Rhinolophus ferrumequinum: one gene and its partners. The protein of the gene in region 4 purifies or fractionates together with the protein of the main gene of each other region. This does not show direct contact. Links are inferred from orthologs where the notes say so. Each region holds a gene or a part of one and is shown on either strand. Other genes may lie near its edges.

What was found.
Region 1: the proteins of RBBP4 (region 4) and EZH1 purify together in Homo sapiens (affinity purification with mass spectrometry; 4 studies listed by BioGRID and IntAct, with this or other methods). This does not show direct contact. The link is inferred for Rhinolophus ferrumequinum from reciprocal best matches to the Homo sapiens genes RBBP4 and EZH1.
Region 2: the proteins of RBBP4 (region 4) and HJURP purify together in Homo sapiens (affinity purification with mass spectrometry; 5 studies listed by BioGRID and IntAct, with this or other methods). This does not show direct contact. The link is inferred for Rhinolophus ferrumequinum from reciprocal best matches to the Homo sapiens genes RBBP4 and HJURP.
Region 3: the proteins of RBBP4 (region 4) and SMARCB1 purify together in Homo sapiens (affinity purification with mass spectrometry; 3 studies listed by BioGRID, with this or other methods). This does not show direct contact. The link is inferred for Rhinolophus ferrumequinum from reciprocal best matches to the Homo sapiens genes RBBP4 and SMARCB1.

The regions. Positions count from the first base shown.
Region 1 is NC_046304.1:38,410,260-38,417,542, reverse strand, and holds the start of EZH1 (histone-lysine N-methyltransferase EZH1), read left to right. Parts: upstream 1-4,266; 5' UTR 4,267-4,316; coding exon 4,317-4,323; intron 4,324-4,739; exon of another isoform or gene 4,740-5,043; intron 5,044-5,162; exon of another isoform or gene 5,163-5,426; intron 5,427-5,451; exon of another isoform or gene 5,452-5,875; intron 5,876-7,283.
Region 2 is NC_046291.1:5,347,188-5,355,033, forward strand, and holds the start of HJURP (Holliday junction recognition protein), read left to right. Parts: upstream 1-4,829; 5' UTR 4,830-4,905; coding exon 4,906-5,001; intron 5,002-5,301; coding exon 5,302-5,368; intron 5,369-7,691; coding exon 7,692-7,744; intron 7,745-7,846. UniProt on the Homo sapiens protein: Centromeric protein that plays a central role in the incorporation and maintenance of histone H3-like variant CENPA at centromeres.
Region 3 is NC_046308.1:22,690,454-22,697,905, reverse strand, and holds the start of SMARCB1 (SWI/SNF-related matrix-associated actin-dependent regulator of chromatin subfamily B member 1), read left to right. Parts: upstream 1-4,434; 5' UTR 4,435-4,638; coding exon 4,639-4,731; intron 4,732-7,452. Other genes in the region: MMP11 (stromelysin-3), read left to right, coding at 7-248, 373-589, 1,247-1,504, 2,455-2,588.
Region 4 is NC_046292.1:22,351,809-22,359,502, reverse strand, and holds the start of RBBP4 (histone-binding protein RBBP4), read right to left. Parts: upstream 3,002-7,694; 5' UTR 2,858-3,001; coding exon 2,842-2,857; intron 2,740-2,841; exon of another isoform or gene 2,464-2,739; intron 2,265-2,463; coding exon 2,117-2,264; intron 1-2,116. Other genes in the region: ZBTB8OS (protein archease), read left to right, coding at 3,633-3,729. UniProt on the Homo sapiens protein: Core histone-binding subunit that may target chromatin assembly factors, chromatin remodeling factors and histone deacetylases to their histone substrates in a manner that is regulated by nucleosomal DNA.

The DNA of each region.
Region 1 (7,283 bases), on a different chromosome or scaffold from region 4:
TCCTAGCCACAGTGGGGTTCAAAGGGCCATGGCATCAGAAGCATGGGACCCTGCTGATAAGCCAGGGAAGACAGAAGGGGAAGTCACAGAACCAAGAGGCACTCCCCTTTCCTGTCTGGCTAGGATTTGTTTGTCTTCCACACAGGCTGTTCCTGCTGATATGACGGTCTGTCGAGTGTCCAGCTTTGATTGGTATCTCCAGTACAGAGGAAGTAAGGAGCCCCCTGCCTTTCAGGAGCTATTTTCTTCTGGACTTGCGGAGTTGAGTCCCAAACACATTTATTTCTCTTTCTGGCACCACTGGTGAGAGCAGAAAGCCATGGAGAGGATCCAGAATCATGATGTCAGAGCTAGAAGACCTCAGAGAAAGGAAGAGGTCAAGTAGAGTGGTTCAGAGCGTGGGTTTGGGGGTCAGAATGACTGGGCTTAAATCCTGGCCACACCGTTTACCAGCTGGGTGATTTGGGGCCAGTTCTAGAATCCCTTTAAACCCTAGTTTCCTCAGCTGTAAAATGAGGATGAGAATATTATTGACTTCATATGACATGAGATGACCCATTTTAAAGCACTTACGCACACTGCCAGGCACATAATGAGTGGTCAGTATTTGAAGGCCATTATCATTTTTCTAGTTCTGCAGTTTTACAGTTGAGAAGCCTGATGGCCAGAAAGGAAGCACAGCTCATTAGCTGTCCAGCCAATCAGGGTTATTTCCCAGGCAGGGCCGTGCCAAAGGCGTGTCCCACTGTGGGATCAAGGCCCTACATTAACTGTGCCGAGAGAGCAAGAAATGGGCAGCACCGCCCTAGCTGTGGGGTTGGAGCTTTCAGAGTATGTACAAAGCAAGGCATAGCTCCCACCCCAGTGATCCCCAAAAAAGAAAGTCCCTTCCTACTGGAATTATTTATTTTGTAATTAACAAAGGCTAAGGAGGCCCTTTCTAATATTCTCGCTGGGAGGTTCGGAGTTTAAACTTATAACAGCCATGGACAAGGGTTTATTGTGGACCTGTTGTTACTTGCTGAATCGAATGCATTATTATGATCCCTGAGCCACTAGGGGTCAGGAGCTAAGTACCTGGGGGTGGAAAGCTGTGTTTTTGCGATCAGAGGACAAAATGTCCGGGAGTGGAGAGGCAAACATTGAGCCATGTATCCAGGCTCAGTAACGTCCAGGCCCCAACTTGCTTTGGAGCTGCCTTTACCTCTAAGTCTTCAGGGAGGGGTCTGGCACTTGAGCTGGCCCCACCAAGTCCTAAGCAGCAGCCCCAGTTTCTGGTGATCTTTATACAGGCTTTTAGGTTGTGCTTCGCTTTGTTTTGTTGTTTGTTTCCCCACAGCAGGGTGGCCTTCCTTGCTTCTGGGTGGGAACTGGGGGAGGGAGGATGGTTTGCTCCCATCTCCACAGCTGTGTTTACACTTCCCTGTCAGGGACTGTCTGGGGCCCCAACCTTTCCTCAGTCCTCTGCATCCCCTCAGAGAAATGCTATTTGATATCCCTGTGGGCTTTACATGGGAGGGGCAGAATGAGTCAAGGGGTCACCATCCAAAGGGGGCTGGAAGGAAGCGAGGAAGGTTGTCAGGGAGGAAGGAATAGTGCAGAAAGTTCTGTTTGAATTCTGGGAAGCATTATCTCCTTCCCTTTCTATCAGTGGCCTGAAGACCAGCGCGGGACAAAAGTACACTTAGAACTTGCCTGCCCCAGAAGGAACAGAACGCGTGACATGTCGTTTCTAATCACCGGGTAGAACAAAATCTTGCTTTGTGCTGGGAATGTGAACGCACAGAGCAGAACAGTCTTCCCTACGGGTTCATTAGCGCCAGTGGTCAGAGATACAACATGTTAAAGCCAATAAGATCATGCTAAAATACACACAAATTAAAAAGGATTTAAGAAAATGGTCAAATAAATAATACTTTTCTCCAGGGAGCAAGCTGAGCTGGTATTAATCAGTATACTAGTGTTGCCGGACTCTCTGCCAAGCCCAGGAGAATGGCTGCCAAGGCAAATCAGGCATCAGGTTTCAGAAATTAAACACATAATTTTATTTTTCCGCATTAGGGAACTTTCACAAAGAACCAGCTCTATTAGGCTACTCAGCACACTTTGTCCAGTTTCTTTCGGCCCCAAAGGCCTCCAATTTAAGAGCAAAATGACCAACTGGAAGCCAGGAGTGACAAAGTTATTCCTTTCTCCTATTAACTGCCTGGCGGGGTGGGGTGGGGCTGGAAGGAGTGGGGCAGAGGTAATGGTACTGTTTTTCAGAGGTCCAGTTGCTGACCACTTGCCAACAGTTTTTCTACGAATTTATAGGACAAAGACCTAAAGGGTTGGAAAAGAAAAAGTTGTAGAGGAACAGCTGGCCAAACAAAGATTGGCTGATAGTTTCGCATGGACCATGGTTAGCTAAGAAAGAGCCTGGTCTCAGAAAAACCATCTCATCACAATGAGGAAGAACCAGTTGACAGACAAAATTTCCCCAAGAACCCAATGCTTATTGGCAATGTGGAAGGTTGTTTTTATAATCTTCCAGTGAACAAGGATTAGTCCTATGCCAAGTTGTCGTGGTGGACATGAAAAAGATATACAGCATGGTAGTGAGTGCAAAGTGTCCTAGAGTTGAAGCACGGGAGACCCGGGAGGGCTGGAAGGCTTAATGAAGACGTGGAGCTTGAGCTGGGCTTCAGGGCTCTGATCTACAACTTTGACATAAGTTTCCTCACCTTCCTTCTTCTTTTCCACCTCAAAATATTTCTATAACCATATTTTCTTTTTTATTGCAACATTTCTTTGTATCTCTTCTCTTGTCACTTGGCATACTCTCCTAAAGCAATGTTGTCCACTGCCATGGTGTTAGTTACCATCACTATGTCAATGGTGCCCAGATTTCTCTCCAGTCTCAGTCCTGACATTCAGATCTTCTGAACATCTCTCCTTAGATATCGCGCGTTCTTTTTTTTCCCCAACAGTTATTTATGTGGTATAATGGTTCTCAAACTTGGTCACACAGTGGAATTATCTGAGATGCTCTTAGAACTGGTGAAGCCCAGGGCATTCTCCAGGCCAATTAATCAGGCCCTCTGGGAGTAGGAGGAAGGCATCAGTTATTAAAGCTCCTCAGGTTATTTTCAATGTGAGCCAATTTTGAGAAGCAGTGATCTAGAAGGCAGTTGGAGATAAATTTAAGGTAAAGCTTTGTATTTTAAGTTTTAATTTTTTAACTTTATAGTTTGAAATAATTTCAGATTTACAAAAGAGATGCAAATGGTAGAGAGTTCCTGTAGACAATTCATCCAACTTTCTTAAACGTTGAGGAAGTATAATTGCCAAAACCAGGAATTAAGATTGATAAAATATTATTAACTAATCTACGGACTGTATTCTAATTTCATTATCCCACCGGTATCCTTTTTCTGGACCAGGACTCAATCCAGGATCACACGTTACATTTAGTTGTCACGTCTCCCCCTACCTGGTACAGTTCCTCACCTTTTCTCTTTCACGATCATGCCATTTTTTGAAGATACTGGTCAGTTATTTTGTAGGTTGCCCCTTAGTTTGGATTTGTCTAATGTTTCCTCATGATTTAATTCAGCTTATGCGTTTTTTTCAAGAATACCACAAATGTGATTTTGTGCCCTCATTGCACCATCTTGAGAGGTACCCAATCTAATAAAAATATCTCATCACTAGCGATGTTAATGTTGATCACTTGATCAAGATGATGTCTGCCAAATTTCTCTCCTGTAAAGTTAGTTGCGTTTGTAACTTCTAGGTATCTTCTGAGGAGATCCTTTGATACAAGGCTAATTTGAATCTAGGTAACTAGAAAAACTATTGACAGAAATGGGGGAGTCAGGTGTAAATCAAGCAAGAAGGGTTACTTAGAGCCCATATGAGTCTTTAAGGGTATTGGTAGGTGTGAGGGATCGGTATGAAGGGGTTCCAAGTTGGCTTCAAATACTGAAGTGAGATGTGCCTTGTCACCGGCATGTGAGGATGGTACAACCCTGGATAAGGTCTTTAAGAAGATATTCGTGGCTTCTCGAAGTTTCGAAAGAGCTCTTCCTGTCCCCTGATAGCGCCGCCTTGGAAACCATCGGGCTCGGGCTGCACCACCTCGGACTTCTGAGTTCGGGGGAGGGGGGGGTGTTGGTGCCAAATGACAGACGTGTGAAAAAGGAATCTCAGGTGGCCCAACCTGCAGGGCGGGCGGCGCAGTGCGCACGCGCCGGTGGAGGCGCGGGGCGGGGCCGCGGCGCGGGGGCGGGGCCGCGGCGCGCAGGCGTCCTAGCGGCGGGTCCCTGCGGCTCGGGATGGAGGGTGAGTGAGTAAACAAGCCCGGGCCGGGCTTTGGGGCCGGGCCTCGGCACCTCGCCACCCGGGACCTGAAAGAAGGAGAGGCAAAGGGGTCAGGGAATTGGGAGGAAGCGGAGGGGCACACTGCCTGCCTGGCCGGGGTTAGCGGGGCGCCCACACCCGCTTCCGAGGACTTGGGGAAAGGGGGCGACCAGGGGAGAGAGCCCCTGGCGAGAACGCTTCTGAGGCCGGGAGGGCGGTGTGTCCAGGAGGAGGAGCGGCGGGGGCGGGCCCGGGGACGGGGAATCCCGTTAGAGGGCGGGGTGGGCCGGGTGGGCGGGAGCCCTGGCTTATGGAGGGCGCGGGTGGGCGGTGGCACCAGCGGGGGCCCTTAGCGAGGTGGACTCCCAGGGACCTCGGGCTGTGCACCCTGAGGGCCAGACACGGGTGCTCGGCTTGCGATGACTTTGGGGGGTGTGGAGGAAAGGGTGTCAGTAAAAACAGGGTCGGGACTAGGGTGAGGTGAGTGAGGTCCTGAGGTGCGAAGTGTAGGGGACGCTCACTCGGGACCGAGCCCAAGCGGAATCCTCCTGAGGTTTTGCGCCCTGGGCGCCCCGCGAGCCTCACCAGCCTCAGTCCTGAGTTACGAGGCTGCTGCTCTGCAAATTTGGTCTCGCGCCAACCCCTGCCCACTCCGGGATTCTCCTGGGGATCAAAGGGAAAGCGCCGTGAAGCAAAAGCAAGGTGTTGTATTTGGGACATGCCTGTTACCGTAGGAAAAGTGGGACAAAATTATTTAGGTAAAAAGTGACTACTGAGAAAGTGTTTCGGGGGCGGGTATGAGGAAGGGATTTGGAAGGACGTTAGTGCCGCGCGGGTGGAATATTGAGAGCCAGTTTTTACGGGTGAAATGTAAGATTGTAAACGGAGTAATCTAAGGCTAGAGGGGTGAGGATGAGGAAAGGAGCCGAGGTGAACGAACAAACTGCGTGCGTAGGAGGACGGCATTCACTGTGTGGTCTGTTCCTCCGGGTTCGCTGCCCTGACGTCTTTGAAGAGAAAAATCCCCCACCCGGTGCCTTTAAGTTTTGGAAACTGGCGTTGAATGAAGTTTCCAGCCTGAAAAGGTGCTGTCAGAGGTTTCTGTGAGAGCTTGTCCCTTTTAAGCCTTGGAATCCCCAGGGCTGGGTTGATGTGGCCTTGATAAGAGCTTACTTGCTTACATAGAAGAAAGTGTGTGTTAGAAGATATGTATACTTTTTAAAAATCACATTTATAGTAAAGGAAAGGACCATATATAAAAATGTAGTGATCGTATTATTGTCAAGGTTTATGGTAAGTGTGTGTGTATCACAGTGTGAATTAACTCTCCAGGGCAGGGATGTTTGTCTGTTTTATTCACTGATGTACCCTAAGCACCTAAAATAGTGCCAGGCACACAGTAGGTGCTCAATACAGATTTGTCGAATACATGAATAGTAGGCAGATCTCTGGGGCTGGATCCTAATTCTGTTACTAACTGGCAGAATGCTTGTAGTCCAGTCATGGAACTTGATGCCAAGAACTTGATGCCAAGGTACAAGTTTTGTTTTTTGTGGGTTTTTTTTTTAAGATTTTTTTTATTGGGGAAGGGGAACAGGACTTTATTGGGGAACAGTGTGTACTTCCAGGACTTTTTTCCAAGTCAAGTTGTTGTCCTTTCTGTCTTAGTTGTGGAGGGCGCAGCTCAGCCCCAGGTCTAGTTGCCATTTCTAGTTGCAGGGGGCACAGCCCACCATCCCTTGCGGGAGTCGAACCAGCAGCCTTCCGAGTTAGGAGCATGGAGCTCTAACCGCTTGAGCCACCGGGCCGCCCGCCAACGTACAAGTTTAAAACTCCCCGAGGTTGAAATGACCTCTTCATTATGGTATTACTTTAATTCTCTTTGAAACAGCACTAGAATAAGGAGCCTAGGATTAAAAAATGAAAATTTACTCCCCAAACGACTTTTGTGAGAAGGGAAAAGGTCAGAAAATGTAATCAGACTTGTTTCTCTTATCTTACTTGCCATTGAATTAGCACGCCTTTAAAAAACCATTTAAAATATTAATTTTGTCTGTTTAGTTTTTGATATCTGAAATCTGGCTTTCTTAGTCCTGTGGGTAACAGTTCCTGCCCTTGATTTGTGCTTTATCTGAAACATGTAACAATTCATTTAGTTACGTAGTATAACTTTTTTCTGTCTTGGCCTAAGTCTTAAAAGTTTCTGCTTTGTTAACTAGCGACTTCCCAAAAAAGGTTTGAGGCAGCAACACTAAAAGCACATTACATTTCTACATCGGGTAGTTAAACTAAAGAGAAAAACGAAAAGGCATGTGGAGAAAGGTGAGAATTATTCCGGTTAGATTAGGATTGCAGAGGAGGGTATATGGGGAAAAACTGCTTTTAGGGAATACCTCCATTCCAGAAAGTCCTCGGCTTTTTTTTTTGTTTCGTTTTTAATTTGTTCAAATTGTGTTTTGGGCTCCTCCTACCCCTTTGGTCCATCAGCCTGTCAGTGGGATTTCAGGGCTCCAAACTTTAAAATTAGGAATTTCTTAATGGGTAGTTGGAGTTTGTGGTGTGTTGTGTTCGCTGACACACTTGCCCTAATACTTTGATTCAAAAATGGAACAACTAAAAAGTCTTGATTTTGTTGAATTGGTAATGAGCAGTCTCTAAACATTAAGCTTTATGCTAGCTTAGTACAGAACCAAGGTAGGGCTCCAGCCTGTTCCGAGAGGGCCCTAACAGGGCCTTTATCTCTTCTAAATGAGCATTGGATATCCTAAGGGCCAGCATTTTCCTTTGTGTCTCCTAAAAACTAATCCTGCTTTGATTTTTATCACCATTGTCTCCAGTGCACGTGACTTGATTCTCTTCATAAAGCAACGCTAGACAGTATTAATGCTATAACTTTATATAAGAAGTCAGGGTCACAGCTTCCTATTAGTAAGGTTTTTTCC
Region 2 (7,846 bases), on a different chromosome or scaffold from region 4:
CATCAGTAAGTTTTTTAAAAGGAATAGAAAAGGATATACCAGTTAAACTCTAATCAAAACTAAGATGGAATGGTTATATTAATAACAGACAAATTAGACTTCAGAACAAGAATATCCGAGACAAAGAAAGACATTATAAAATGAAAAAGTGATCCATTCACTAAGAAGACATAAAAACCCTATGAGGATAACAGCAGAGTTTTATATAGGAAGCAAAAACTTGTAGCATTGAATGAAGAAATAAACAAATCCACAATTTAGTTGGAAAACTCAAAACCCTTTCCTCAGTAATTGATAGAATTCTTTTGAAAATCAATAAAGATATGAAAGGCCTGAACAACACAACCAAACAACTTGACTTCATTGACACACGACAGCAGAATACACCTTCTTTTCAAATGCACCATCACCAAGACTGACCATATTTTGGACCTTAAAAACTCCTCAACAAATATAAAAAGAGATGTAAGGAACTGGCTCACGTCATGATGGAGGCCGAGAAGTCCACGGTCAGCCCACACTGCAAGCTGGAGACCCAGGAAAGCTGGTGGTGTAGTTCCAGTCTGAGTCTGATGACCTGAGAACCAGGAGGGCTGATCGTTTAAGTCCCAGTCCAAGAGCAGGAAAAGTCCAAACTCACTCAGTCAGGCAGAGACAGCAAATTCTCCCTCCATCTTTTTGTTCTAGGAAGGCTCTCAATGCATGCAATGATGCCCACCCACCTTGGGGAGGGTAACCTGCTTTACTCAGTCTACCAATTCAAATGCTAATCTCTCTTCAAGGTAGAAGGATTAGGTATTGAAATGGGAGTTGTTTTTTTTTCTGTCAAATTCATTCAAAATTATAGAATGAAGAAAATTCATTAAAAGTTGTAAAATATATATCCCATTCAGCAACAGGAAAAAAATCTGGTATATAAGCAAGACATTTAAAATAAGAAAACAAAAAAATAAATAAAATAAGAAAACAAGTGAGAATTCCTTAAAAAAATTTTTTTTAATTCTGTACATTTTATAATAATGTTAAGAAATAATTGTGATAAATGACAGAGACACAGAAATTATTCTTATTTCTTGCAATAAGAACATTAGAAGCAATAGTGATAGGAGTTGAGTATTAAAAGGTAAAGATAGTTGAGAGAAGATGTAACACTATTACTGTAAAAGCTAATTTTAAGTAAGGACTGGATGCACCAAAACTTTTCCAAAAACACAGCAGTTGCCTTCTGTACTTTTTAAATTAACTCCAATAAGCCATGGGCGGTAAGAAGGAACTACAATGGGTTGAGGAAAGAAGAAAGGACTGGACAATCCCAGGACATTTCCAAAGTAGGTAAATTTTTTTGAAAAGTATTTTGCAAATTACCAATTAACCTGGTGCCTCCTGTTGTAAAGTTATTCACACATAATAATGGAAGAGCCGATCTTTGCTCCAGAGAAAGAGGTCCTGAGAGTTTTCAGATCCATAAATAATGGGACTGATTAAAAATAGGTCATCCAAATCTATCTAATTGCCTTCTATTTTTAATGTAAATTCTTTTCATTGATTTTTAAAATGGATAGCCCATTAAAACACATTAATCATGACCCTAAAAGTGTATCTGTAGAGCAAAAAGCCTAAGGTGAAGAATAAAAAGCAATTTCCCACCACATGAAACTGAGGCAGGAACATCACCAAAGAAAGCTGGAGCCCTACTTTTCCCAGGAAAAAAACACATTTCTGGGTAAAAGCTGGGAGGAGAGGTATCATTATGATAAAACGTTGTTCAACTGTATGACAGCGGTTTTAGAATGTCTGGAACCATGTGTGTCCTATTTAGGTAAATGGTCTCTAATTTTGTAGAGGCAAGGTAAAATACATGATCGGCTCTGCTGTGTTACATATCACATGAGAAATGCACACTCACAATCGCGGGATACAATTCATTCTAGAAAATGAAGCTAAGGAAAACTACTGGAATACTAAAACTAATCCGTCATCCAGCGATAACACCAGAAACATTTTGATAAATACATACTCGGATTGTTAAAACATACAACGCATATTTTTTAAAGGCAGATATATAATACATGTTTGTAACCTCCATTTATTCTAAGAAAAAAATCATGTTTTTGATGCCAATAAATATAATTTTTCAAAACTGTAGTTAATGGAACACAGATATGTATCACCATTTACTCAACCTTCTTTCTAGGATTGGACTTTATAAACAGTGCTTCACTAAAAATCTTACAGCTAAATCCTTGCCAACATTCTTAATTACTTAATTACTTAGGATAGATCTCAAAAAGTAGACTCAGTAAATCAAAGAATAAACATGTTTTGTGAGCTTGGACTGACACCTTTTGGAAAGTTAATTGTTTTTCAGCTATTTCACAGTCCCTTTGTTTCCATCAGCCCTAGAATGACAGAAGAAAGTGAACCCTTTTCTTGGCGGCCTAACAGATGGGGCTTAATACTTGCCACGATCTCAGACTCACGTTTTCACTGTCACATAGCGAGAAGTTTTTGTAAACGCTGGGAACGGCCCAAAGCTGTGCTTCTCCAACCACAGAGAGGTGGTGACATTTCCACACCTTGCCAACATAAAATTATGTACATGGCAATTCTATGCAGAATAAATCCTCATTTGTTATATAAAGTTGTATAAAATGCAGGCACATTTTATGAGAGCAGACATAAAATAATTCCCGCGAGAAAGATTTCCTATGTGTAATCATAATTTTAAGCAGCACTTTAAGGGGTGAAAATTCTGGCCATGCCAGCAGAGGACACTGCGCAGGCTCAGCCCGAAATGGAGATCCTGCAGCAGAGCTGACCACTTCCTCATCTCTGCTGCCCCCGGAAACCCCTTGAGACGCAGAGGGGCTACACCAGCCACTTCCACTACCAGGGAAGGAGTTCACTTGGGATCCTTCCCTGTCATATGGGGGTGAGGAGTGGTGGAAGGGGAGTTTGCATAGCAGGTCTGGGTTCCTGAGGTCACATGTTAGGCTGCTATAGGTGTCTGTGGGGGTCAGGGGAGGGTGTTTGTAGGGAATGGTGTCAAATTGGGAGCATCCTGCAGGACTCCTCCTTCCGTCGTTGGGCCATGACTTTGGCCCATGGGATGGGGAAAGCCAGTCAGAGAGGACTGGGAGGCCAGCAGGCCTAAAGAACAAGGGCCAGTGCACGTTGGTTTAGAGGGGATTGCCAAAGAGAGTATGTTTTTGGACCCTCATGCCTTCTCCTGAACCAGCATGATTCCTTAGGATAGAGGCAGGTCCTTGGACACTCAGTGAAGCCCTGGATCCTGAGAGTGGCTTTCTAGGTGTAGGAGAGCCAATTTTGAAAAGTATCACTATCTCGCTTGTTAGTCATGAAAGAGAAAGTTTTCCAAGAATTAAAAGAGACGATAAGGAAAACCCTATCCAAGATGTCAAGTCTCTAAATGTGACAGTCACGTGTTTGAAAAACAACCTGAGTGTGCCAACAGAGTGAAAGGAAAAGCAGGTAAAGTTCCTGAACACTCCCTAGAGGGAAGGAGGGGAAAAGCTCAGCTGACTCATGAAAATTGGACAGCTACAAACGGAATGTGTACCATCAGGTCCTCGTTACAGGCTGGGTTCTCCAGGTGGCAGAATGTGACAGAGTTAGTGTGCAGGATGTTAACTAGGGAGTGCCCTTCGGTTCGGCGGCTGGGAAAGAATGGAGACTGGACAGGTTGCCTCGGCAGATTCCAGGCGGAATCTGAAATAACCCTGTCTTCATATTCCCACCTGGATCAGCCGCTGGATTTGGGGCTGCACGACCGGGGGTGAGGGGTCCTCTGCACCTGAGAAGGTGCCTGCCGACAGCCACCAGCAGCTGCGGTGTCTTGAAGGCGGCTCTGGGTGGCCCATCTCTGAGTCCATTACAATACATTTTCTGGACACTCCACTACGTGAGCCCCGGAGTTCTTCTCACCTCCCTTACCCCCAATTTCTGCTGGATGGCATGAGAGGATTGGGGCGCAAGCTGAGCGAAGATGAAGAGCCCCAGCTAGGGACCTAATGGTGCTCAGTTATGCTCTTCTTATGTCACGTACTATATGGTAATTGTATCAGCATCAACACATGAATATGACTAAGTTATGAAGCTGAATAAAACTTCTCTAAAATGTACTTCGTAAACTCGACCAACCACACTCGAGGAAAGACTGCATTCTCTTTCTATACTTTAGAGAAAACATTACAACATTAATATCAACGAAGAGTCTGAGTGCGCAATAAAAATATATATACGAAAAAGGTGTACCAAGAGAATAAAAAATTATATTTTCCTGGATGCTCAAACGTTTACGATATTTCTTTCTAAACGTATGTTCCCTTTCCTGCCTCCTTTTGTATTTGTAATTTGGGGGGTCTCTTTCTTGTGCCCCTCCCCCTCCCCCCCTACCTCCCCCCCCTCCCCCCCTACCTCCCCCCCCCTCCCCCCGGCTGCTCTCGTGACAGCGCGAGGGCCCAAGGCGGGCGGGGTGGCGGAGCCGGCTCCGGGGAGGGCGCGGGGCGACGTTTGGGTGAGGGGCCGCCCCCCACTCGGCGGCGAGTCCCGGCGCAGGTCACCCGGGCATCTCCTGTGCACAACCCGGGAAATGATACGGACTTCACAGGACTCTCGCCATTAACCGGCAACCGACGGGACTACCGCGCCACTCCCGTGCGCATGTGCGGCGGCGCACCCCGCCCACTACTTCGGAGCCGAGCGGCTGCGGGAACTCCGGCGCCTATGTTTGAAAGGCCCAATCAGCGCCCAGCCTCTCAGCGCCAGCCAATGGAAAGCCCGAGGGGCGGCCAGGAAGAGCGGAGTCCCTATTTGAACTGGGGCGCGGGGCGAAGCTCCCAGTCCCGTTTCCTGCGGGAGTCGGGGTTTGGGTCTCCGCGCGCCATGAAAGACGAGGTGCTAGGGGAGGATGCACTGCTGCAGAAGCTCAGGGACAGCCGCCGCCGCTTCCAGCGTCACATGCAGCAGTTGCTAGAAAAGGTGCGGCCCCCACCGGCCCGCTGGGAGGGGCGCGAGGCCGGCGGGGAAGGGGAAGACGGCGTCGGGGACTGGGGAAAGGAGAAGAGCGGCGGGGAGGGAAGGTGGAGACAGGGTGGGGAGGCCTGGAACGGGGAAGGTGGGTTTAGGGCCTGGAGATGAGGAGAGAGGAGGCAGGATTTAGAGTGGGGGGGGGCAGGGGAAGGAGTGGGGAGGTTCCCAGACTTCCAGCCTCGTGCTGTCGCGGGTCAGTGGCTACTTGCGACCCTCGGACCTGATAGGGCGCCCCTTTCTCTCCTGCAGTACAACAAACCCTTCGAGGATGCCCCGCTGGTGCAAATGTCCACGCTTACCTACAAGACATCCACGGGTAGGAGTCATTTCCCCTTTCTGAATATTTACAGTTAAGAGTGTGAACAGAATAGTGTCTTCCTAGAGCTTGAAATGCTGTCCCTGCTCTCTTTGGAAAATAATACCTGTTCGCCTAATAGGAACTAAAACATTACGAGTTCCCTTGAACCAATAAGTTAAATTACTTCTTCCAAACAGAATTACTTATCAAAACAGAATCCTGAAGACAGATGCGTAGTGGTTAAAAATGCCCCTGCCTGGGTTGGCATCCCAGCAGGCCATAAAATAGCCGTGTCAGCTTGGACCTGTTGTTTTAGCCAGGCTATGTGTCAGTTTCTTTATCTGTAAAATGGGAGGATGATGACAAAAATATCTACTTGGTGCAAATGTGACAGTTATATATGTGAGTGCTTGTGAAGTTCTTGGAACAGTGCCCTGCGCTAGAACACTCGTATTGACTGTTATTTGTTTGACTTGGAATACTAACTGTCCTTGAGATTCTGTGTACTTGGAACTTGGCTTGAATCTAGGGAGAAAGAGCCTTTCTGTTTAATGGTTGGTGTTGCGAAATAACTTGAATCTCATGGAATCTCTTTAGTAAATAGCTGGAGAACGTTTGCACGGGGTGAAAGTTTGTCACGTCCTCCCGTTCAGCCTTATTACCAGCTCATTACTACTAATGAAAGCAAATCTCAGATTCAGTTTTGCCAAGTGTTGGACAGACAGGTACAAAGAGGTTTCATAAGACTTACTCCTTAAATGAAGACCTAGCCGTCTTCCTTCTCAGCAGACCCAGCCATACCTTGGTAGAAAAGTTTCCGCAGGCAGGACCTAAGGGATTCCAGCTGCAGGTTTCTGTTGCTCTCGCATCTACAGCAGGCGGTGACAACTCCAACCCTAGGGCAGGACCCAGGGCTCTGCAGGAATCGTGCTGACGGACTTCACTGAGCACGGGCCGTGTCTGGAATATCTTGGCCAGTTCACATGTCTTCAGTGCCACTGATTTCACCAGTGAAGACTCATTGCAGACTCCCGTTTTGATGAGAACAGTAGTTGAAGTATCTGAACACCTCGAGAGCAATTACACTTAACATGTAGAAGACCATGTGGAGAGCTTGTTAAAACACAGATTCCCGGGGCTCCTGACTGCGATGCTGGATTCAGTAGGTCTTCAGTCTAACAGGCCCCTAGCTGGTGACAGCAGAGGTCCCCTGACCTGTTGCTTAGCCTGGAGAGGCACTCGAGGAGGGAGTGGCCTGTCTGGCTAAATGCTAGCTGACCACCCTTGCAGCGGGAATGCCCACTTAGGGAGTAGACTGGAACTGACACTTCCACACAGTATGGTGAAGTCAGCACGAAAGTAACAGTGGTTCACGTGTGTTGACAGCTAAGCATGTGCTTCTAAGGGTCTCCTGTTTTTGATTCTCAACACTGTGAGGTAGGTACTGTCCTTAGAATCATCCTCATTTCCTAGCGGGTGATACAGCAGGGAGAAGTTAAGGAGCTTATCCCACGTCACTCAGCCAAAGTGACCAAACCTGGGTTTAACACCAAGAGCATTTGCTCAAGCATCACCCTGTTCTGGAAAGGCTGCATGACACAGTGGTCAGGAACACGTCACTGTCCCCAGTTCACAGCCTGGCTCCACCACGCAGGCAAGTGTCCTGGGCTAGTTACTTGACCTTCTTGCTGTGCCTCCATCTGTACAGTGAACTTGGTGAGTGCCTATCCCGGAGGGAGTTAGGAAGTCCTGTTTGAGTGACATGTGAGGGACTTTGTGTGAAGATGACATGAGGTGCACTTGGAAAGAGTTTAGAATAGAGCCTGGGACGTTGAAAGCACCGTGGAAGTTTTGCTGCCATTATCATCATTCACAACCATCTCAAGCCTTGAACCGCAACGACCTCTTCTGATTATCTGGAATCGATCTGGGAGCAAATGAAGGTTTAGGAAGAGATGAAGTGTCTGGCCCAGGCTCTGTGACTAGGAAGCGCCACGCCTCCAACGCTCAGTGTTGGTCTCTGTACTTGGGGCGTGCTCTACACGTGTGGAGACTGTCCTATTTTCATTTAGCTTTGTGGCTTCATGATGATGTTGGACCAGCAGCTGCCCCCTGGGTAGGAGAGATTTTCATTACTGACAGGTTTTTGTCTAATCTTGATTTTTTTTTTTTTTAAGACTTCAACCTCACAAAGATGAAAAACAACCAAAGATCAGAAATACAGCTTGGTTTTAATATTATAACTTTCTTTTGCCTGTCACTTTAGTTTTCTATGAATGCAGATTAAATAGACTTGGGGTTCAGGATTACTTACGTGCTAATTTTTATTCCATTTCTTCAGGATGGAGAGTTTGGGGTGGAAAAGTACTAAAGAAAAACAAAGGACAAGCCCAGGTATTTATTGTCACATTTTATTGCCACCATTCCTTGCCATGGAGGACTACTGACGGGATAAAGGTGTGGGTGAGCTGAACAGCACCAGGGGCTTCTGGAGGC
Region 3 (7,452 bases), on a different chromosome or scaffold from region 4:
TTCCAGGTACAGACCTCCTGCAGGTGGCAGCCCATGAATTTGGCCATGCGCTCGGGCTACAGCACACCACGGCTGCAAAGGCCCTTATGTCTCCTTTCTACACCTTCCGCTACCCGCCAAGCCTCAGCCCAGATGACCGAAGGGGCATTCAGCACCTATATGGCCGGCCCCGGCCGGCCCCCTCTTCTAAGCCCCCAGCCCTGGACCCCCAGGCTGGAGTGGACACCAACGAGATTGCACCACTGGAGGTGAGGCACAGGAGGGTGGGAAGACAGGAGGTGAGGCCCTGCCCCAGCTACCCCCACCTGACTGGCCTCTGTGGCTCCAATGTGGGCTCTTTCCCGGCCCTCTCCCCCACCTCCCCTGCCCCAGCCGGAAGCCCCACCAGATGCCTGCGAGATCTCCTTTGATGCGGTCTCCACCATCCGTGGGGAGCTCTTCTTCTTCAAGGCGGGCTTTGTGTGGCGGCTACGCGGGGGCCGGCTGCAGCCTGGCTACCCTGCGCTGGCCTCTCGCCACTGGCAGGGACTCCCCAGCCCCGTTGATGCAGCCTTCGAGGATGCCCAGGGCCACATCTGGTTCTTCAAGGGTGAGTGGGGGCAGGGGGTCATGCTCAGATTTCCAGGAGCCTGGAATGTCATGGCCAGGGGTAGGGACAGACAGACAAATATAGGCAGGTAGAGGGTGCCCTGAAAGCTTGGGGCCACGGGAGAACAAGGCTCATTCCTCTGGGCACAGCTGGGAGACTTCTGAAGGCAATGGCTCTCAAGGTGGGAGTAGAATAGAAAGTACTGCACAGTGGGTCACACATTGGCCTCCAGCTCAGGTGGTGAAGTGACTCACCTGAGGGTATAACTTGAAAAAGGCAGAGCAGGGATTTGATCTAGGTCTGGCGACTGTAAAGCCTGTGCTGTTAACTTACAACTGCATTAGGGAGCATTCCAGGTGGCAGGGACTTCATAAACAAGGGTCCACCTAAGACCTGTGGCAGGGACCAGGGCTGAGCCCCAGGGGGTGGTGAGCAGTCAAATGCCCGGGGAAGGAGTGGGAGCCCAGGTGCCTCTCTGCTGCTGAGAATTACCTTTCTACGTGGTACCTTCCAGAGCCTGTACTGCCCCAGCTTATCCCTGTTGGCTCCAACTTCCCCTGGGGTGGGGGCGCCAAGCAGGATAAGGAAACTGAGGCTGGGAAAGTCCTGGTGGTGGTGGCAGCTGGGCAGGGCCATTGCAGCCTCCCCTCTCCACAGGCGCTCAGTACTGGGTGTACGATGGTGAGAAGCCAGTCCTGGGGCCCGCCTCCCTCTCTGAGCTGGGCCTGCCAGGGTCCCCGGTCCACGCAGCCTTGGTCTGGGGCCCTGAGAAGAACAAGATCTACTTCTTCCGAGGCGGAGACTACTGGCGCTTCCACCCCAGCACCCGCCGTGTGGACAGCCCCGTGCCCCGCCGGGCAACCGATTGGCGAGGGGTACCCCCTGAGATTGACGCCGCCTTCCAGGATGCTGACGGTGCGTTGGTGATAGGGCAGCTGGTGGAAGGGGTGTAGCAGGTGCGTCTTCCTCCCTGTGGTGGCTGGATGTCAGCTCTTCGTCACAGGGCCTTTGTCCAGCCCCCTCCCCATCCAGCCTCCTCCTTGTACCAGCGCTCGGTTATACCTTCCATGTTGTAGATGAGGAGCTTGAGGCCCAGACAGGAGCAAGGACTTGCCCAGGCCCCAGCCATGGCTGGTAAAATAATAACCACTGCACACACGACTGACAATGCTCCCGGCACCTAAGCTCCCTACCTGTCTCATGCAATTCTCTGACGTAGCACCTGTTAGGAACCCAGTTTGCAGAAGAGCAAACAGATTCAGGTGATGAGGTCCCTAGCCAGGGCCACCCAAGTGGATAGTGGGTAACCAGGAACCCCCACCCAGGCAGTCCCTGCTGAGCTGTCCAGCCTCCTATAATCTCCAAGGACTAGACTGGGGACTCATAGTCCATTGCCCTCACCTGTGCCCCCTTCCCCCTTTGCTTCTGTGCTTTCCCACACTGGGACCTGCTGGGAAAGCTGTCCTGTGGTGGTCTCAGGCTCTGGGGCTCCAGGTTGCCTCTATCACCCTCCATAACTCAAGATACCCATCGGTATCTGGCTGGTGGGTGTGGGAATAAAGTGAGGTAGAGGGAGGGGTGAAGAGGGAAACAGGACTTGCCTTCCTGAGATGTTGGAATTGGACGTCTGAGGCTCTCAGCAGCTGTCAGGCTGGGTCGTAGCCTAGTCCAGACTCTGGGCAGGACTCCCCCAAGGGAATGGAGCTTCTGGAAGGGCCGTCCTAAGGCCTGCAGGTTTCAAGGAACTCAGTGGTGGCCAAGCCTGCCCACCCGGACCTCCCCGTGCCCATCCCTAGGCATAGCCTGGTGAGCAGGTGAGAGGCCCGGTGTCCACTCACCCAGGCCTGACCCTCTTCTCTCCTCAGGTTACGCCTACTTCCTGCGTGGCCTCCTCTACTGGAAGTTTGACCCAGTGAAGGTGAAGGCCCTGGAGGGCTTTCCCCGCCTCGTGGGCCCCGACTTCTTTGGCTGTACAGAGCCTGCCAACACTTTCCACTAACCACTGCTTGGATGCCCTCAGGGCCCCTCACCCCTGCCAGGCCACTGACGTTGCCTAGAGACCCATGGCCATCTTTGTGGCTGTGAGCACCAGGCATAGGACAGAGCCTGTGGCTCCTCAGGGGGGTGGGGAGGGGTGGCTCCCACCATGACAAGTGCAGGAAGGGCCACGCAGGTCGTGGTCACCTGCCAGCAACTGTCTCAGACTGAGCAGGGAGGCTTTGGCATCAAGGGTGAGGGTGGTCTTGGACCGGTTCCACCCTACCTGTGCAGGTCACGGTCAAACCCGGCTGCCTTCGCTCTCCATCTTCGTCCCTCAGGAAAGGACCTCAGCAGGGCTGAGGGAGCTGGAGCCCTTGCTCTGTCCCTGATATGAGGTCCCTGCAGGGTGCTGGCACATGGATCCCGGGGCCACGTAGCCTTCTGCCCTTCCCTGAGAAGTCATTTCTGGGTAGGTGCTTGGAACTGGCTGCCTTCAGTTGGTGATCCTGGAGATCTGTTCCCCAAGATCCAGGCCAGAAGGTCTAGAGTCATCTGGGGACAGGGGTGCTCACTGCTGGAGACCCAGGGCCCTGGAGGCCCCAACATACCTCAATCCTGTCATGGGCCGAATCCTCTCCAGCCTTCATCCCAGCACTGAGACCCTCCAAAGCCATGTAAATGTGTGTACAGTGTGTACAAAGCATTTTCTTTCTTTTTTTTTTTTACGGAGAACTGTCATTAAACAGTCATTTTCTACCTGCCTGCCTGGGGTGTCTCTGTGATTGTGAGTCTAGGATGGGAGCTGTACCAGGGAAGTGGGAGACCCGGCTTGGGACCTGTTCTGTCCTCGGAACCAGGGTGGCAGTCCACCCCACCCCCAAGTCTCTGGTCTTTGGCGCTGGGTACTCTGTGTAGGGCCCCTCCTGCCCCATTCCTCCATCTCGTCTGTCTAGATGCGTGTAGTGCCTTCGTACTTGGTTCCCTGCTTCCCCGGCTTGCCCCTCAGATCATCCTCCCCTAAGCAGTGGTCACTTTATCTGATCTTCCAGGCCCAGCCCCTATCCCGTTGTCGTCAGGATACAGAACAAAACTCATGTTTACAACAGCTGACGCTTCCTAACAAGTGTCTCCTTGCCTGCCACCCAGCCCGGTGTATCTCCTTTACAGCTGCAATTTTTATTCGAAATTTATATGAAATCGGCAGCTGTGGGCCGGTTTTGACCTACTGCATTGTTCAACGGGAAACGTGGATGCTTTGATGCTTTCATTAATGTCATTCCCCACTCCCACAGGGCAGGGCTCTCTAGTTGCACTGCAGGGCTCGGCTTGTTGTCCGTACAAAGTGCAGAGTTAAGGACGGAATGGAGAAGGTTCCCTCCCTTCCAACACTCATCTGACGCACCAGCCAAACCAAATACCACCCAGATTGGAATCCTGCCAAGCCGTGTAGTCTTGGCCCATGCTAACACCGCCCTGTGTTGTCGTTCTGCCCATTCCTACAGCTGCAGGAACAGCTGCGGGCCGAGAATTGGGATATCTAGGAGTCCTCTTATCTGCTCAACTGCACCGTTTTTTCAGGGTGGGGAAACTGAGGCACACCTACTACTGGCCTCCTCACACCCTGCAGAGCTCACTTTGTTCCTCTTCCATTGCGTTGAGTTCCAGTCCTAGCTGTAGGACTGGGAACGCCAACGCCTGAGTCAGGGCCTCGATTGCTATTTCCACCTGAGAAGTCTTCCTTGGTACCGAGACTTGGGAGGAAGCCTGGGAGGAAGAGAAACGGATTTAGGCTCCTTTAAGGGACCCACGGGAGCGCGCCTTGGCCTTTTGTTTGGGTGGCGGTAGCGCGCGCGTCGGCGTCAACGCCCGCGCATGCGCACAGAGGGAGGCCTGGTCGTCGTCGCTGCGGCTGCTGAGGAGCCCGGCGGCGGCCGCGGCGGCGCGAGTACTTGGCCCGGACCGCCCTTTGCTTCCCGACTTCGGCTCCCTCGACTTGGCACGCCCCAGCGCCGCCTCAGCCCTCCCGATCCCTCGCAGCCCGGCTTTGGCTGCCTGCCTCCACCGCCGCAATGATGATGATGGCGCTGAGCAAGACCTTCGGGCAGAAGCCCGTCAAGTTCCAGCTAGAGGACGACGGCGAGTTCTACATGATCGGCTCTGAGGTAGCCCGCGGCGCGTCCTCGCCCTCCCGGGCCCCGGCCCCGCGGGAGCCTCAGGGCAGGTCTGCGCGTCGGGAACGCGCGTCTCCATTCATCGCGGCGAGGGGGTGCGCGCGCACGCGCGACGGGATGTGGCTTAGCAGGGCGTGGCCGGCAGGCCCCGCCCCGCGCTCCTCTGCGATTCTGGGTTTACTTAGCCATTTTGTGGTGGTGGGAACGTACCCTGTCGCCAGAACTAGGGCTCCCCGAGGGGCTGCTGGTTTCGTGCTGAGTTGGTACAACTCCAGACAGACGCAGACAAACTGGGTGTTACGGTTAGCCCCTGCGAAACACCCCGTTGGGGGTGATAATGTTGGAAATATCACGTGCGCCCCTCCCCCATTGCTACATCTGGGATCCTGAAATCGCCGGTTGTAAACATGGGGCTTAGTGAGGGCTCATCCTCATTGTGTTCGTTGCCTTTGAGGTGGGCAGGAGGTGTTTTGATCTTTGTTTACCAGGGAGGAAATAGGTTGGGAGGAGAATATTTGCTTTTGGGTGGATAAGGCCATCCTATTTCATTTGGGTGGATAAGGCCCCAGGTCCTGAGCTAGCTCTCAACAATTCAGAAGCAATTGACACTGTGGATATCTTGGACTAACTGAATTATTACAGGAGAAAGAGCCTAAAGATTTTTAATCCTGAACTAGAACTGATAGCACTTTGTTGAATCAGCTGGACCACTGACAGGAGGAAAACTTTTCAATGGTAGTTTGTACTAAGTATATTAAGTTTTTGCAGATTGCCTCAAACTAGCCCCTTTGGGTCTAAAGGCCATCCCCAGGTAGTGTATACTCCTTTTTTTTTTTTTTAATTATGGATATATAACTCAGATGTGCATATACCAAGCAGTAGAGTCTCTCATGTAATGAGGTAAGTGCTAATCTTGGAGAGCTAAATAAGTCCCAAAATGCCAAGCGCTGCCTTTCCCTGTAGTACTTTAAAGTATCAGACACCAACATTTCATTCCTGATTTTACAATTTTTGTTGTTTTTCTTCACAGCTGATCATAGCGTGAATGAATTACGCCTCATGATGGTCACACTGAGGCAATCACCCTGTGATTCCTGGCCAGTTATATCAAATTATGAGGCCAACATTGTCAGCATCAGAACTTGAGTGTTACCATTTTTCACCAATTTTTATTAAACAAAAAGGGCAGGATGCAATAATTTTTTCACATTATCCCGTAAATGCTGCTCTTCAAAGATAGCCATGCTGGGGAAGTGGAGTCAGTGCGTGTCTATCTGCCGTGGCTCAGAATGGTCCTCATCAGCCTAAGTGCAGGATATAGAAGACAGCTGAGTTTTAGTACGTGATAATGGGCAGATCGTTTAAATAAATCTTTACCTGGTCTAATGGGCAAGAAAAGCAATCAATTTGGTTTCGATTCTGAGTATGTGGTACCTCTGAAAAGCAAGCTTTCATTTATTAGGTGGAGCAAATTGAGAAGAAGCATGCAGCCAGGTGGGAAGAAGTCAGGAGGCCTGGTTCCAGCTCTGTTCTGCCTCCTTGTCACTTTTCTCATGTGTATAATGAGATGCTTAGACTAGATGACCTCTGAGATTTTCTCTGTAACACATTTTAGCTTCTAGAAAGTTATCTGCAGTCTTCTCTTTCAGCCCTGTTGAGTGAGACCATTGTCCTGCGACCGAGCCAGTAGAGACCTAGATGGGAGAAGGGAGAGGAGGTTTGCTTTCTGGAGCTTGGCTTAACAATTGTCAGACTTTTGGAGGTCTGGGAAAGGTTCAAGATCAGAATGCTGTCTATTGATGTCCAGTCGTTCCTGTGATAGCATTGGGTGCACGGCCCCCAGGCCCCTTCCCTTTGGGCAACAGGCCACTCAGAGAGGTGGGCCAGCCATAGCATCACACCCAGTGCCGTGGAGTGGCTTTGGGAAGACATCCGCAGTTGCAGTAAGTGTGTGTGACTGTTCTCCCGCCATCTGCAGGTAGCTGCATTCACCAAGCCAGAGTCATAGACCTGAGAGGACCTAGGGTATCCCCAAGTCCAACCTTCATTTCAGGCAAAAACTGGTTCAGGGAAAACCCAGGAAGGCAAACCCTGGTCTCCTCTATTCTGAAGGGGCCTTGGGAAGGCTCTAGGAGTCCCGGAGCTCCCCAGGACCTTCAAGGTAGTAGTGGGGGACACTATTGTTAATGTCTTTTCAAAACCTAATGGAAACTATACGTTTACCCTTGGATGGTAATGACACTCAAGCCAAATAACCGACAGGGGTCTGTGCCTTCTGTGTGGAGCACGATTGACTGGCTATGGTCACCTCTCACGCTGTTCAGCAGCTCTGGTTGTCGATCATGGAAATCTTTGATTCATGAAAAATGGAGAAATATTTTTATTAAATAAGTATACTATGTTGCGTAGGTAAATGGGACAATAATAGAAGTGGTCCTTTGTGTGGTCAACTTCAAAGTTGCTGTGCATTTGACAGATGAGTAAGGAGAGCCAGACTGGGGAAGTGATTCCTGGTCACAGGTGGAGACATCACCTGGCACCCAGTCAACTGGCTGTCTCCTGCCCTGTGATTCACATGGTCATTTTGGAAAAGTCAGTGAGACAATGAGGTTTCTTTATAAAAAACTTTAGGACGAGATTTTTTTTCTTTCCATTAAGGAAGTCATACTTTGAGTATTTGGTTCAAGCAAACTGAAGCTATTGTTTGGAGAA
Region 4 (7,694 bases):
TACATGCAAAGAATATATTCAGTTTGGAACATGTCATGTTTGGGAAGCCAATTAAGATACTCCAGAGGACACCAGTAGGCAGCTGAAAATTCAGGAAGAGCCTAGAATAGAAGTTGGCTCTAAGAGATAAGAGGAATTCCTCTGCATAGAGGTGATAGGCACCTACCGGATTCCCCCCAAAATAAGACCTACCCCGAAAATAAGCCCCAGTTAAGATTGTCAGCCAGAGAGATGCATTTAGTAGGTTGTGACGATGTTCCAGAAGATGACATGACTGTATTTGAATAAATGTAGATTGTTGTACATGAAAATATAAGACATCCCCTGAAAATACACCCTAATGCATCTTTTGGAGCAAAAATTAATATAAGACCTGGTTCTTATTTTCGGGGAAACACGGTATATCTTAAATAGAAAAAGTAGAGGAAAGAAAAGAGGGTTGTCAACATAAAACTGGGAATTCCTGCGTTTAGAAAGTTAAAGAACCAGAGGAAGTGAGGGAAGGTAGAAGAGGTTTGTAAAACTACATTTTTTAAAAAAAGGATACGAATAAACACAAAGGAAACACATACACAAATAATTAAACACTTGGCATTAGGGATGCTTACCAGCAATCCTCATCCTAAAAAAAAATTAACATTATTATGAGAATACCAAAAAAAAAAAAAAAAAAGGAGAAAGGAAAAAGTCAGGTATTTGGATCAATGTCAAACATTACAGAAAGATTTATTTACCTAGATCTGCTGAAGCAGAAAGTTACTAAAACGATAGCACAAACTTTAGCCTTGGGGAATTTAGTCCAATTCACTGCTTTCCAAACCCAGATAATCACTACATTACATGGGAAGCGTTTTAAACATATGGGTTCCAGAATAATTTCATAGGTATGGGGTAGTCATTATTCAGGAACCACTGGTCCAATATAATTCAGGACATGACTGTAAATCTGGAAACACAAACTATTTCTCATCAAGCACTCTGCCACAAGTTCCTAAATGGTTTGAATTACCATTGAGAACTCCTGACAGAAATGACTCCTTATCCTGAACTCAAGTAATTCTGATGATCAGTTGACTATGGTAACTCCCGGTCATGATCAAGTATCCAATTCTAAATTTCTAGTAACCACATTTTGCAAGTATCTTGACTTCTAAAGACCCGAGTTTGAAGGAATTTATTATTTACTACATATAAAATATAACTTTTAAATGTTTTTCTGAATAGCAAAAGTTTTATAATAGGAAATCCATTATTCCAACGGGCACACTGGTTTTGCTAAAACTTTATATTAATATCTAAATTCATCTTCATCTTTGCATTGTCACTTCCATATGGAAGCCTTTCCTGATATCCCAAGTTGAGGTAATTTTTCCTTCCTCTGATCATTTAATTCCCCCCCACCCCCGCCCACTTCCTGATCATTTAACTTTTGTCACGCTTAAATTTTTTACTGTTGTAACTTATACACATGCAGTCAAGGCGGGGAAGGTGTCTTACCTAAATTTGCATGTCCTAGGATGTGGCTCCTAGTATACTAAATATTTTATCTCCTCTATTAGAGGTAAGCTAGCCATGCTTAAGAAATATGTCATTTATCTCTCACCATGCCTAATTCCCTCATATGAAAACCATCCCACCTTCAGCTGTTAGTTCGAAGCATCCTAGGTATCTCGCTAAAACTACTCTGAGCACATATTACTACAATTATTAGTTTATACTTGCCTTCAACTAGACTGTGCTCTTTAAAGACAGGTACCATGTCATATTCATCTTTGTATTAACCAGCTACAACCAGTGACTGTGAGATTGATAGAACTGTACTCATCATAATACTTTCTGAAAACTGACAAGTTTTTATATTACTATTCGGTCCACTACGGTTATAATACGGCTATTCAATTCAGTAACAGAAAAAGAAAACAGCATGTTCTCTCTTATCAGGAAAATTACAAAGTAATTTTACATTGCCTACTTTTTGACCTAGAAAAAATGTCACCAATAGGTTTTGATCACGTGCCCTCTTCGGATGAATGTAGAAAGGAAAATAGGGAAAAATCAAAGTGAGACATCTACACCGAGGATACACCAAAATAACGTTCAGGAGATTCATTATCACCTGGTTACATCTGGAAGCCACTGCGCAGTTAAGCTGGGCCACTCCAGAGCATGGGTCATCACCAAATCGTAAAGAAAAGGGGTGTTCTTTTTCCATATTTTATACTCTTCGTTGATCACACGTTCTTCTACTGCGTCATCAAAGGCTGCTAAAAAATTAAAAACAAATGAAGTTAGCGAACATAATGGGAACCGAGTAAACACTTCCAAAGCTAACGGCACGGCTGCCGAGTCCTGATATGGAGCTCATCTGTCTAAATTACCCCTAGGAGGAGGCACCAACACGCTCTACATCTTTGCGGGTCGGAACTAATCTCAAGTCAGGTCGGCCAGACACTCCGTTAGCCGTTCGCGCGACGGCGCAGAGCCTCGGGGGCACGGACCCCTACGCCTCAAGTCTACCCAAAAGGCGAGGAGGCCCGAGCAGCGACCCTCGGGGATAGAGAGCGGTGCAGGGCGGACTGGGAGAGAGACGGACAAACCGACAGTGAACGTGAGGAGGGACCAAACACCCGCCAGGGCCCCCACCGCCAGCTTCACGCCGCTGCACCGGGCCTCCGCTCCAGAGAAGCTGGTGGGCCGTTATCCCGCCCCGCGGGGCGATTTCGTCTCACGCCTTCGATGGTGGGGATGGCACTCAGCAGAGTGGGGCCTGCCCTCACTGTTAGGCCATGTCGAAGCCGCGGCGCAAGCCCGGTACCACCCGCTTTCCTGAGGTAGCCTCACCTTCCTTGTCGGCCATGGCGGGCAGGCAAGCCAGGGGGATCCCGGGGTCGAGCGTTGCGGGAGGGGAGGGGAGGCTACGGGCGCTCGCTCTGCGCGCGCGGCCTCTATTGTTTCCTGCTGTCCCTGCGTGAGGGCGACTCGCGCACCTTCGCGCCAACACTGGCCAATCGGAGCGCACCGAACGGCGAGGTGGGCGGTGAATCCTCGTTCGCAACCTATCCAGACGCGCGGAGTCACTATCCGCGGGGCCGAGGCGCGCGCTCCGCTCCTGCCCCCCACGGCCCGGAGCTGACTTCCTTCGATTGAGCGCGCGCGCGCGGCGTTGGTGGGAGTGCGCCCGCCAGGGTCACGTGAGAGGCATAGTCCGCTCCCTCTTCGCGGCAGCCATTTTCTTAAAGGCTGTTCAGGGGATCACTTAAAAGTGCTCGGATGGGAAACTTAGGATGCTTTCGGGTCTAGTTATCAACTGAGGCGGCAAGTACAGGCCTCAATCACTCAGACCTAGAGGTGTCTAATTCACGTGTCCTTTACTCCCGGGTTCTCCAATTTGTTTCCTTACTCCTTAGATCATTGATGAAGTAAGCGTAGAAAATGGGGCCCCGGCTTTTTAAAAATGTGCTCCAAGTAGCGAAGCCTAACACGAAAGTCGTGGGGATAAAGTACGTTGGCGATAATGGAGTCCTGGTCCTTTAAGAGTACGTGCCAAGGGGTGGAGTCTAGAACGGAAGTTGTAAATCAGGGCCGAGGTCCGGCTGTTGAAGGGCGGAAGTAGAGTGTCCAATGCTGCAATCATGGCGCAGGAGGAGGAAGATGTTAGAGATTACAATTTGACTGAGGAGCAGAAGGCGACCAAGGCCAAGTATCCTCCAGTCAATCAGAAGTACGAGTGTGAGTAGGTGGCTCACTTCTCTTCTCTCTCCCAGAGGGACTTACGGCCTCGCTGTCCACTTTTTCGCATAGGGTACTTCAGGCGTGATCCCTTTTCTCCTTGTGGTGTAATTTCATTTGTACTTGGGGAATGCTGAAGAAAAAATCACCTCATCTGAGATTCGAGAGACCTGGGCTCCCAGTTTTATAGTCTCTTGAACTTTTTCCATATATGCCTAATCACATTTGTCTTGTGGGGATTCTGCTAGTATATTAATTCTGAACATAACCATGTTTTCAAGCGTTTGCGTGATTGTCACCCCCGTGTATCTCCAACAGTGGGATAGCGTGTGGCTAGATTAGAAAACTCGGGAAGCTAAGTAAGGGCCTTCTAATTTGGTGTTTTACTTGGATCTGTTAGTAAAATGACTTGGTTTTGCCATTTATTAGCTTAGTGACTTAGGCAAATCGTACATCTTCTCTTTGCATTTTATTTCCTTCATCTGAGGAAGAAATGAGATAATAAATTTGAAAGTATAGTGCGCATTCCTAAGTTCTATATAAACGTTATGCTCTCATCCCTAAAGGTCGCTGTGGTTTGGGGAACACAAATCGGACTGACTTCCCTGCTTAAAAATCTTCATTAATTTCCCATTGTCCTCTGTATAGAGACCAACTATTTACCAGAACATACTATACTCTGTACTGTCTGGACCCCGCATATATCTCCCTAACTCATTTTTCTCTCACTTAAAAACAATTTTTAAAAAAATTATTTAATAGGTAGTATATATAATTCAAAATTCAAAATGTAGAACAGGTGTGCAGTGAAAAGTAAGTTTTTCTTTCAACCCTCATCCCAAGCCACCTAGTCTTCCTCACTAGATCAGTCATCTTTACCATTTTCTTATGTGTACATGCAAAGATGTTATAGCATTTGCTTTATTTAACCAATTTCCAGTTGATGGACATTTGTGATATCTGTATTCTTTTGCAATTAGACACAATGCAGCAGTGAATATACTTGCACATCCATTGTTTTGTACATGTATTTGTACAAGTGTTTTTGTAGAAGAAATTTCTAAAAGTTAACATTGTTTTGTTAAAGGATATGGGCATTTTTAACTTCGAAGTTATTGCCAAATTGCTCTCCATTGAGGTTGTGCCAATTTATACACTCACTAGCATTGTATGAGTGTGCTTCTTCACACTTACCAATTTACTGTTTCACCATACTTTTTGGTCTTTTCCAGTTTGTTAAGTATCTTGTCATATTAATTGCATTTTTCTTATTATAAGTGAGGTTGAACATATTTTAGTAAGTTTGGAGCTATTTGTATTTCCTCTTCAGGGATGTGTATATTCATATATTTAACCCATTTTTCTGTTGGGTTGTTAGTCTTTTTTACTATGCAGAAACTTATGTAGTGAAATGTGTTAACACTTTTTATGACTTCTGGGATGTTATACATAGGAAGGCCTTACCCACTCTGAGATTGTAAAATAATTCTCTATTTATTGAAGTATAATATACGTAGAGAAGAGTTTACATATCATAAGTGAATTTTCACAAACTGAATACACCTGTATAAATAGTAACCAGATAGATAAACAGAATAGTACAGCATCCCAGAAGCCTCTCTCATGTTCCTTTCTAATCACCACCACTCTACTACTTCTCCATTAACCTGACTTCTAACATCGTAAATTAGCTATGCCTGTTTTTGTACATTATGTAAATGAATTATTGTGTATTCCTTTTGTGTTCAACTTTTTTTGCTCATATTTGTCAGAACTCATATTTTTGCTGATAGTTATAGATTGTTCCTTTTTTAAGAAAATTTTTATAAGTTTATTTGAACCAAAACTGACAACAGTTTCAGGAAAGCAAACATCTTAAATGCTCCTGGGTTATAGATTGTTCTTGCTTCTAGTATTTATGTTTGTTTGCTTTTTAACATTTAAATCTCAAATAGGTCAGGATTAGGGTAAGATAAAAATTAAGTATCTGATTTAATTATTTTCCAGATGACTTATGAGATGTTCTCACATTATTTATTCAACAATCTCTTTCCCCCTGTGATTGAAATTCCATAACTTTATCATATACAGAATTTCCCTACCTATATTTAGGTCTGTAGATAGACTTACTTTGGTCAGTGTTGCTCAAGCAGTAGTTGGCTGTAACCAGAAGTGTCTGGACGCTGATGGTAACCACTTTGAGCACCTCTTGTAATTGCAGAAGTCAAACGTGACTTGTATTCATCTTTTTTTATTGGTATATATTGAGTATTACAATTTTAATACAGTTTTTTCCTTTCTTAAAATGTGTATACATTTTTTGGCACTCTCTGTATATGTATATTTATTATACCACAAAAACATTCAGCAAAAAGCAGCAGTTAAGAATGAGATAAAACATAAACAATAGTTTAACTATTGTGCAGAGAAAACCTTTTGGCTCAAAAATCCTGTTAATATTTTTATGTTATTCTTCATGATTACATCTATGGAGATGACTATATACTTATATAAATTACATGAATCAATTTCCTAGTAACTGAATCTTTGCATTCCAGGAATAAACCCTACTTGTTCATACTGGATTCTGCTTGCCAACATTTTGTACAGAATCGTGTCGATGTAATGTTAGAGTAGTCTGTATTTTCTTCCAGCTTCATTTCTTGCCACTGACCACCCCAGTTCTACCACAGGTTTCCCTTGTTAAAAAAGCAACATTCAACTGAGCAAATTTGAAGACCTATTTGGCTTTCTTAAACATTTCAGCATCCCATCTAGCAAATAGAAGGGAGCTGTGAGAAGTTGTACAAAATAGAAGGTTTTTTTATAGGCAGAAACTGGCATGACAAAGTTATTAGCAAAAGAAAAGAAAAGAAAGGTTTGTTTCAGGCGGGGGAATCTTTCTTTGGGGGAAAGGTGGCACGGTCTTGTCAGGCAGATTACTTCACTAGTGTTGATCAGGAAATTCCATACTGATTGGTTTGAGGTCACATTCCTGGGTAAGGCTGAAATTACCCAGTTTGCTGTCCTAGAGGCAAGGGATTTCACCTTGGGCCTGTTTTTTTGTTTTAAACACCCTGTTGGCCTGGTTTTCCTTTCCGACTCAGATGTCATTTCATTTATTCATTCAGCAATGTATTTGAGAACTGGTTGTGTATCAGTTACTGAGCAGAAATTGGGAATAAAAGAATGAGCAAACAGATATAGATCACCCTTATTCTCTTGGCACTTAAAGTGTTAAGTATTGTTTCTTTTAGGAATTCTTACCTGAACCTCTTAGTCTAGGTTACCTTTATCTCTTATGCTCTCCTGTAAAAGCAGTTTTCAAAGTGTGGTCTGTAGACACCTGGGGTTCCCTAGACCCTGTCAGAGGATCTGTGATGTAAAAGCACTTTCATAATGATACTGAGACGTGCTCTTTTCACTGTGATGATGTTTACATTCCTGGTGCAAAAGCAATGGTAGGTAAAACACCATGCTCCTTAGCACAAATTGAGGTACTAGCACCAAACTGTACTGGTAGCTGTTGTATTCTTTACCACCATAAAATTAATTTAAAAAAGAAAAAGTCATTTTTACTTAAAAATGTTCTTCATGAATCGGTAAGAACTATTAATTTTATTAAATCTTGACTATTGAGTACAGACTTTTAAAATGTTCTTTGTAACAAAATGGGAAGTCTGTACAGAGTGTTTCTGCTGCGTGTCAAAGTATTGATGATTACATTGAGAGAAAGAACTTGTATAATTGAGTTGTGAGCTGCTTTTTTCCCACAGAACATCAATTTTTCTCAAAAGAATGATTAAAGACATACCATTGTTATTCAGACTTGAGTATTTGGCAGATATTCTCTTGAAAATAAAGTGATCTGTCACATCACTTTGGAAAATAACACTTTGTTGGCAATGGTAAAATTCAAGCTTTCAAGTGAAATTAGAATTTTGGAAAACTTGTGTCTGCTGTCA